Danio rerio: one gene and its partner. The protein of the gene in region 2 purifies or fractionates together with the protein of the main gene of each other region. This does not show direct contact. Links are inferred from orthologs where the notes say so. Each region holds a gene or a part of one and is shown on either strand. Other genes may lie near its edges. The genes, in order: kpnb1 and ppm1g.

Region 1 (4,079 bases), on a different chromosome or scaffold from region 2:
CGCACGCTGGTGAGTGTGTGTGTGTGTGTTACTGACTGACACTAGTGTACAGTGGTGAGCGTGTGTGTATTACTGACTGGTATTAGTGTGTACTGGTGTGTAATGCGCTCTGTGTTCTGCAGCTCCTCCTCCAGGTGCCCTCTGCTGGTCCTCAGGTGTTGCCGCACACACACACTCTCTCGGCTCCACTCAGCCAGTTCAAGCTGCAGGTGCGTGTGCGCGCGACACTCCGGCAGCTGCGCAGCTTCATGCAGGACGTGTTCCGCAGCCTGCGCTGCATCAGTGTGTCTCAATGCTAACTGCACGCACATACACACACACCATGACTTTCGCTACATATTTATATATTTAATATTTATTGTTTTGAACATTTGTTATTTTGGTAGCCGACACATGTTGTGTTTAACACATGTTGACCGACACATGTTGTGTGTTTAACACATGTTGTGCCCTGTGGGTGCGCTGTAATGTTCTATTTAAATGTATTTATTATTAAATTATTTTCCTGAACTGGTCTTGTGGACGTGTGCTGCTCATTTATGTGCCATTATTGAAGACACAACACACACACACACACAGCAGAAAGATTTAATTTAACTTTATTTTCATATCAATGGAAAAATATAACCTCATACAAATGTCTGATTCTGTCCGTCGTCGTCTTCTTAAAAGCTCGGTGAATGACTCCAATTAAGTGCCGCAAGAGGAAAACAAAACAAAAAATTACAACCAAAAGCACATGGATGCTGCTCGGCTCGCCGCCGCTGACGTGTGTATTATTAATTCGCATCTTCTACGAGTAACACATTAAGCTCAAGTCCATCTGCACCGCTGGGTTTGGCACTCAGTTTCCTGCAAAACAAATAAAGGAGAATAAAGTCGCGTGTGGAGGTGTCTAATATCCCGTCGCTCCGCCGGAGCCTGCGCCTGTAGTGGCAATAGTCTTCCCTAGGCAGGGCAGGTGAAGCTCCGATCCGCACATCCATACTAACACACACCGGTAAGAGAACCATTACTCAATCAGCACTATTATTAAAGAAACACAGAGGAGGAGGAGGAGGAGGAGGAGGCCAGTAATGTAGCGCAGCCGTGACGAGAGGCCGGACGCCTCCACTGCCGCTCGCCGAGGGAACGCAAGAGCAGCTCACTCAATCGCAAACAAGATATTGATCACCTTTATTTATTATTGGTTGAAATATTGAGAGACGACGCGGAAACAGCGCCGCCCTCGCTCACTCACACACACACACTCCAGTCACGCCATCATGGCTCCAGCAGCAGGTTCCCGCGGCCGCCGTCTGCTAATCAGTGTGTGACGGTCAGTCCTGCAGCTGATCGGGCCGGGGGGAGGATCGGGTCAGGATGGAGAACGCGGGCAGGTGGAGAAGGTGGAGGTGTGTGCCGCTGTTCCTCTGCTGGAGCTGGACTGAAGGTGTGTGTCAATCTCTCGCTCTTACACTCGCTCTCACACTCGCACACACACTCATCAGCGCACAAGCACTTCTGTCCACAGCTCTAAAAGACAGAAGAACCGCAGGGCTTTCATTTCCATTTGTCCTGGTAGAAGAAGAAGAAGAAACTCCACAGCCGGAGATCTGCGCACACAGGAGAACAACACGTCACACACACACAGGAGAACAACACGTCACACACACGCTGAGAGGAACACACACACACACACACAGGAGAACAACACGTCACACACACACACACACACACACACACACACACACACACACACACACACACACACACACACACACAGGAGAACAACACGTCACACACACGCTGAGAGGAACACACACACACACACACAGGAGAACAACACGTCACACACACACACACACACACACACACACACACACACACACACACACACACAGGAGAACAACACGTCACACACACGCTGAGGAACACACACACACACACACAGGAGAACAACACGTCACACACACACACACACACAGGAGAACAACACGTCACACACACACACACACACACACACACACACACACACACACACAGGAGAACAACACGTCACACACACACGCTGAGAGGAACACACACACACACACAGGAGAACAACACGTCACACACACGCTGACTGAGGGCCAGAGGAACACACACACACACACAGGAGAACAACACGTCACACACACACACAGGAGAACAACACGTCACACACACGCTGAGTGAGGGGCAGAGGAACACACACACACACACACACACACACACACACACACACACACAGAGGAGAACAACACGTCACACACATGCTGAGTGGGGGGCAGAGGAACACACACACACACACACACACACACACACACACACACACACACAGAACAACACGTCACACACACACGCTGACTGAGGGCCAGAGGAACACACACACACAGGAGAACAACACGTCACACACACACACAGGAGAACAACACGTCACACACACGCTGAGTGAGGGGCAGAGGAACACACACACACACACACACACACACAGAGGAGAACAACACGTCACACACACGCTGAGTGAGGGGCAGAGGAACACACACACACACACACACACACACACACAGAGGAGAACAACACGTCACACACATGCTGAGTGGGGGGCAGAGGAACACACACACACACACACACACACACACACACACACACACACACACACACAGGAGAACAACATGTCACACACTCGCAGAGTGAGGGCCAGAGAAACACACACACACACACACACACACACACAGGAGAACAACACGTCACACACTCGCAGAGTGAGGGCCAGAGAAACACACACTCTCTGTGCTCCTCAGACTGGAGTGAACAGCTTTAACACACACACACACACACACACACACACACACACACACACACACACAGGCAGGTTTGTGGGGTCAGAGGTCACGCACCAGGCTTGGCTCTTCAGCTTGCGCAGCTCCTTGGCGGCCCACGTGGCCAGAGTCTTGGTTTTGCTGGTTTTGGATCTCCGGCCTTCAGTCAGCAGGTCATTGATCTGAGGACGCACCTCCACCAGCTTCATCACATCCTTCCCGAAGGTGGTGCACAGGTCCCTGACACACACACACACACACAGGGGTCAGACTACTGCACAATGTCTGTCTGTACGAGTGTGTGTGTGTGTGTGTGTGTGTGTGTGTGTGTGTGTATGTGCCTCACCCGATGAGCCCTACAGCATTAGCCACGACTCCGTCAGATCGGTCCTCGTCCTCTGCGATGTGGTGAATGAAGGACAAGATGAACTCCACACGCGGCTGAACCAGCATCACATCGGCTGCGCAGGAGAACACACACATTACGCACACGCCATGCAATGCTGAAGTGTGTGTGTGTGTGTGTGTGTGTTCACTTACGGTGCACATTCTCCTGGTCCCCCTTCAGGCCCTGGATGATGCCGGTGTAGGCCTCCAGACAGCCCTCACGCAGCTCGTTCAGGTAATCCACCATATCATAGTCCGTCTGCAGACACACACACACACACACACACACACACACACACACACAGCTCAGCTCGTGTAACAGACAGACAGTGTGTGTGCTGTCAGCGGTCAGGTCTGGAGATCTTCTCATTGAACTGTTTAAGATCAGTGATAGCCCAGAGCAGCGCTGAACGTCTGCTCTACACGACTGAAGGACATCACAGCACCACAGATGATAATAGACAGAAGTTCAACAACAATCGTCAAACACTGAGCGCCGTGTGTGTGTGTGTGTGTTCATCTGCTCACCTTGTCCACCTGTGCCTGCGAGGCCTGCTGCAGAGTGTCCAGCACAATGTCCAGGTACTTCTTGAATTCTCCTCCAATGGCGAGAGCGATGTCTCCAAACACAGACAGAATCTGGGGCTTGACGGAGCGGTGCACATTCTCATTCTGCGCGCACACACACACACACACACGATTACATGCTGAACTAGTGTAAGCGCAGCTTTAGCACTGAGACAGTGGAGAACAGATCATGTGTGTGGTGTATTAGTGCACATCTGAACACGACCCAGAGCTCATCATGGCCGTTCCCCACACTAGCTCACTACCCTGCTGACCTCATGGCCATCTTGTCAAATAAAACAG
Region 2 (4,499 bases):
GTATTAATTTGACTATTTACGATGACATAGCAGTCAACATAAGGCAAATGAGCTCATGTATGGGACCAATTCTGGATCTTTGTCATTGAGGGGTGAGTTTTTTCAACCACCCGAACTCCTCTGGCTATGGGCCTGCAAAGTTACTTTGAATAAGGTTCAAATTGGGATAATTTTGACACTTACCACCACTTTTTTCAGGTTGGAGCTGGAATTTATGTATTTGCTGCTGTGATGTCAGTTCAATGTAGCGTGTTGTCAGACTATTGTTGTTTACACCTTGGAGTGAAAACAGACTGAACTTGAGGACGGGTGACCTGGTCCGATAAAAACACTACACAGACAGCATGATCGTCCTTCTCGGAACCGCAAATGGCCATGGCATGACCGTATAACTCGCACGTCTCCTTCGTCAACACACAGGCGTGCGCCGGGCGGCCGCGCACGCTAACAGTATAGCAACCTCTCGCGATACAACCTCTCCAATGCGGCGCCACGCGATATTTGCAAACAAAACATATGGATCTTTTTTATTATCATTTGACAGTAATGGAGGAACGCCGCGAAATGTAGCGAAGAGTACTGATTTTTCTCTAATAATTTACTTGAATAAAAGTACACATATTTAAATTTACTCAAAAAGTACACGTTACCCAATAATTTTACTCAAGTAAATGTAACGAAGTAAATGTAACTCGTTACTACCCACCTCTGAAACTAATTATCATGTAAAGCAACACACCCCTAAAACAACGACCTGTGTACATCCCCCCCCTCCCTAACTCACACTTTTTAACACATTATAATAAAAAATCTAAACTGTGTTTTAAAATGAACCTAAACTTGCAGAAGAACCATATAATAATAATAAATCTTAAAAAAGGGGTAAACTAGGTGCCCTTATTTTCAATACAGCAATACCTGACTATAAAAAGATGACAATTTTGAAGAAAAACTAAACCAGAAAAAATGTTTATGTCGAAGGTAGGTTTAAAGCCACTTCAGCTTAAGGGTACCCTTCATAACATCAAAATCAGTTGCATTCAATCCTCCCTCCTTGATTGGTTTCACTACATCTGATTTTCTTAGATAATGATGCTTATTCTTCCATAGAAAAGTATATTGCATTCGATTCAGATTTTTAATGCACCTATCAGATGTACTTACAGAAAAAGATGGGTAAATCATTCTGGAAAGTGTTGTACCTTTTGTAAAACAATTATACCAAAAATAGATAGATTCCTTTGAACCCACAAATTTATTATATTTTGACTTTTTTTATATTAGTCTCTGCAATCTATTGTTAACTATTATTTAAACCAAAAAAAAAAAAAGAAATTCTAAAAACCACGTGCATGCGCGAACTCACAATAGACTTCCGCTTCCGGTGTGCCTAAAGTCCGCTCTCTGCGAAATGGGTTTGTTGCTGGACTGTTGATTATGTTGACTCACACGTGTTAGGGGCTTTTTTGCTTTTAAAAAGAGGCTCTGACTGCATCAACGTTTATCCCCATTCGCGTTTAATGTGAGCTCGCTCAGTTTCAGGCAGGCCTGCCCGGACTCTCCATCATACCTGAGTGATTGTTCATTTAGAAACTCCAGCAGCATCAGCAGTGTTAGCAGCAGCCCATCAGCTAGCAGCAGTAGCAGGGTAAAACACCGGTTTACTCTCATCCAAGCTTCACTTCGCTCTGAAATGTGACCAGAATCTAGTTTTTACAGACGTATTACCTTCTTTGAAGTCAGTGGATTGGATTAAGTGGATTTATTTAATTTTACGCGTTTTCTTTTCACTAAATCTCACTGCACACATCATGGGGGCTTACTTGTCTCAACCCAACACGGAGAAGAGCACTGGCAACGGCGGGAGCAAGAACTTGAACTATGGGTTCTCGGCCATGCAGGGATGGCGAGTGTCTATGGAGGTAAAACAACCACTTTAATAATATTAAATAGGTTTTGTTACTTTAATTTGCTGATAGATGGATTGCTAATGCTATTAACGAGCAAATGTACGTGAATTATATGTTATTAAAACTATTGAGGTAAAGTTGTTCATATATTCAGACTTTCTCCGTAATAATATGAATTCAGAAAAGTATTCTTTGCCAATTTTAAATGTGAAGATCATACTAGCAGCCTGTGACTATCAAAGTACATTGTTCACTCAGTTAAATGATGCTAACGTTGCATTGGAGTCATACTTGTATGCTACTTCAGACCGAATATTCAAAGTAACGTTACCATGGTAAACAATATAAGGAGCATGTCACCGTTCACAAATGAACGAATGTGTGAATATAAAACCAACTTTAACTCCATTTCAAAGCAGTGTATATTTGCTTTTCAAAGTTAAGTAATGCTAGTCAGTATTTTTTTGTCTAGTGGGAGGAGTGACGTGCGCGGATTTTGGCGCCAGTGAGGTCAGAGGGTGACTCCCGCCTCAAGCTCTCGGTTTTTCTTCATAACCTGTTTTTGTTTCCTAGGACGCGCACAATTGCATCCCGGAGCTGGACGATGAAACCGCTATGTTCGCTGTCTATGATGGCCATGGAGGTAAGATAATAGTATAAGGATTTAAAGATGAGGAAGAGAGACTCGTTTCTGTCAGTTGTCCGGCCTCCGATGTTTCCAAAGCAGTCTGTTCATTAATGGGATAGTTCACACTAAAATGATTCTTCACTCACTATTTACTCTTCCTCAAATGGTTCCAAATCTTTGACTTCCGTTAAAGGCCACCTATGATGGAAATCAACTTTTGTGAGCTGTTTGGACAGAACTGTGTGTAGGTATAGTGCATACCTGTCAACATTGGGATGTGAAAATAAGGGATATGCCCACCATAATAAGGGATTCCCCTGACCCCCTTTAGAAAAAATTCCCCAAATTACTTAATATGCTCATTTGCAGCTGTTTCGTTGTAAATAAACAGTTCAGTGGTCAGTAGTATGTTTTATTATTATTTACAAAAGAAAACATAAATAGTATACATTAGCAGCAAATTAGCAAACAGTTCAGCTTATTAAAATTAATAGCTATTATTGAAATGTAATAGAATTAAATCCCATTAGCCATTTCTTCACTGTATAACATACACATTCTGATTAAAGAGCAACGAATGCATGATTTATTTAGATTTTTTTCCCCTTTGTTTACATTAAATAACAAGTGTCACTTTAAAAATGCACACATCTAATGTTATAATGAAAGCATTCAATTGCTAAATTGCAGCTGTTTATGCTCATTTAGGACGAAATTATTTGTGATTGGAAAAATAAAAAACACCAAGATCGATATCTTTAGATATTATTATTTTTATTTATGTGTATATCTGTTGAAACACGCACCCAAAACCCAGTCTTTTGCTCCGCTTCAAATCTTGAGTACAGAATCCGTTTGGGAAAACAGCGTCTGTTTATAACTATGGAGCGCGTCAGCTTACAGTCATGCAGCGCTATATGACTGTTTTGAGGATTGCATATGAAGGGGAGACGGCACCTGCAATGAGTAGGAAGAGAATCGCGCCGTTTTAATGTTTATTTCAAAGTGTTTTCATGCCTAAACAAAGCGAAAGCACTGAACAGACTCGCATTTAAGAGCAAGGGGCGGTCCCTAGTGGTTCGGCGGTATAGGTTGCGTATGGGAGGATCGACTAATTAAGGTTTATTTGCCACCTTTCAGAGAAAGACTAAAAATACGGGAAAATAACTTTACGGGATCATGGATCATTTTTCTGCTGATTGAGCTGCTCTGAGACATTGGTAACTTATAACAGGCTGCTCACTCCAACGATTTAATGAATAACATTGTAGTTGTATTTAGACATTTATAATTTCATTTTCACATTTTCTTTTTAATTAAAATAGTTAGTGAGCATCCAAATGGAGAGTAACAGATTCATATTATTCATTAGCCATTGCTGACTTTAACTTTTATTTGGCGAGTGGCAGTTTTCGGTCCTGGACATGAGGGTGAGCAAATTTACAATCGGTTTAGCATTCCTAAATGTGGACCAAAATGGATTTTCCTGGATGTTCTCACATAATTCATCAGTTAATTTTCAGAGTCTTCATTGAGTTTGGGCACACTCTGTTATGTTGTTTCTCCAGGTGAGGAAGTTGCTTTGTATTGCTCCAAGTACTTACCAGGCATCATTAAAGAGCAGAAGACGTATAAAGAAGGCAAGCTGCAAAAGGTAAACCTTGCTGATCTGTTTAAGTTGTTTATTGTTAAGATATGACTAATAGGTTTGTCCATTATGATTTCTTCAATGACAGTTACCTTGTGCGATTTTGAATGGGTTTCATTGTATTTATTATATTTGTATAAATCCAAGTTGCTTTTGCCATGAAGATACTCTAGCCAATGAAGGTTATATAGCATTTAATAGAAGATGCAATATGATGACATTTACCACCAGCTCTGTGGCTCAAATCAACTCCTGCTTCCGCTTGTACTGAAGACATTGTAGAATCCACATAACATAATCTGATTTGAAAGCA

What was found.
Region 1: the proteins of ppm1g (region 2) and kpnb1 purify together in Homo sapiens (affinity purification with mass spectrometry; 3 studies listed by BioGRID and IntAct, with this or other methods). This does not show direct contact. The link is inferred for Danio rerio from reciprocal best matches to the Homo sapiens genes PPM1G and KPNB1.

Annotation. Positions count from the first base shown.
Region 1 is NC_133194.1:51,609,484-51,613,562, reverse strand, and holds the end of kpnb1 (importin subunit beta-1), read right to left. Parts: intron 3,882-4,079; coding exon 3,738-3,881; intron 3,469-3,737; coding exon 3,363-3,468; intron 3,284-3,362; coding exon 3,169-3,283; intron 3,063-3,168; coding exon 2,901-3,062; intron 1,596-2,900; coding exon 1,595-1,595; 3' UTR 583-1,594; downstream 1-582. Other genes in the region: csf3b (colony stimulating factor 3 (granulocyte) b precursor), read left to right, coding at 1-9, 123-299.
Region 2 is NC_133188.1:6,217,791-6,222,289, forward strand, and holds the start of ppm1g (protein phosphatase 1G), read left to right. Parts: upstream 1-1,392; 5' UTR 1,393-1,811; coding exon 1,812-1,922; intron 1,923-2,483; coding exon 2,484-2,553; intron 2,554-4,106; coding exon 4,107-4,192; intron 4,193-4,499.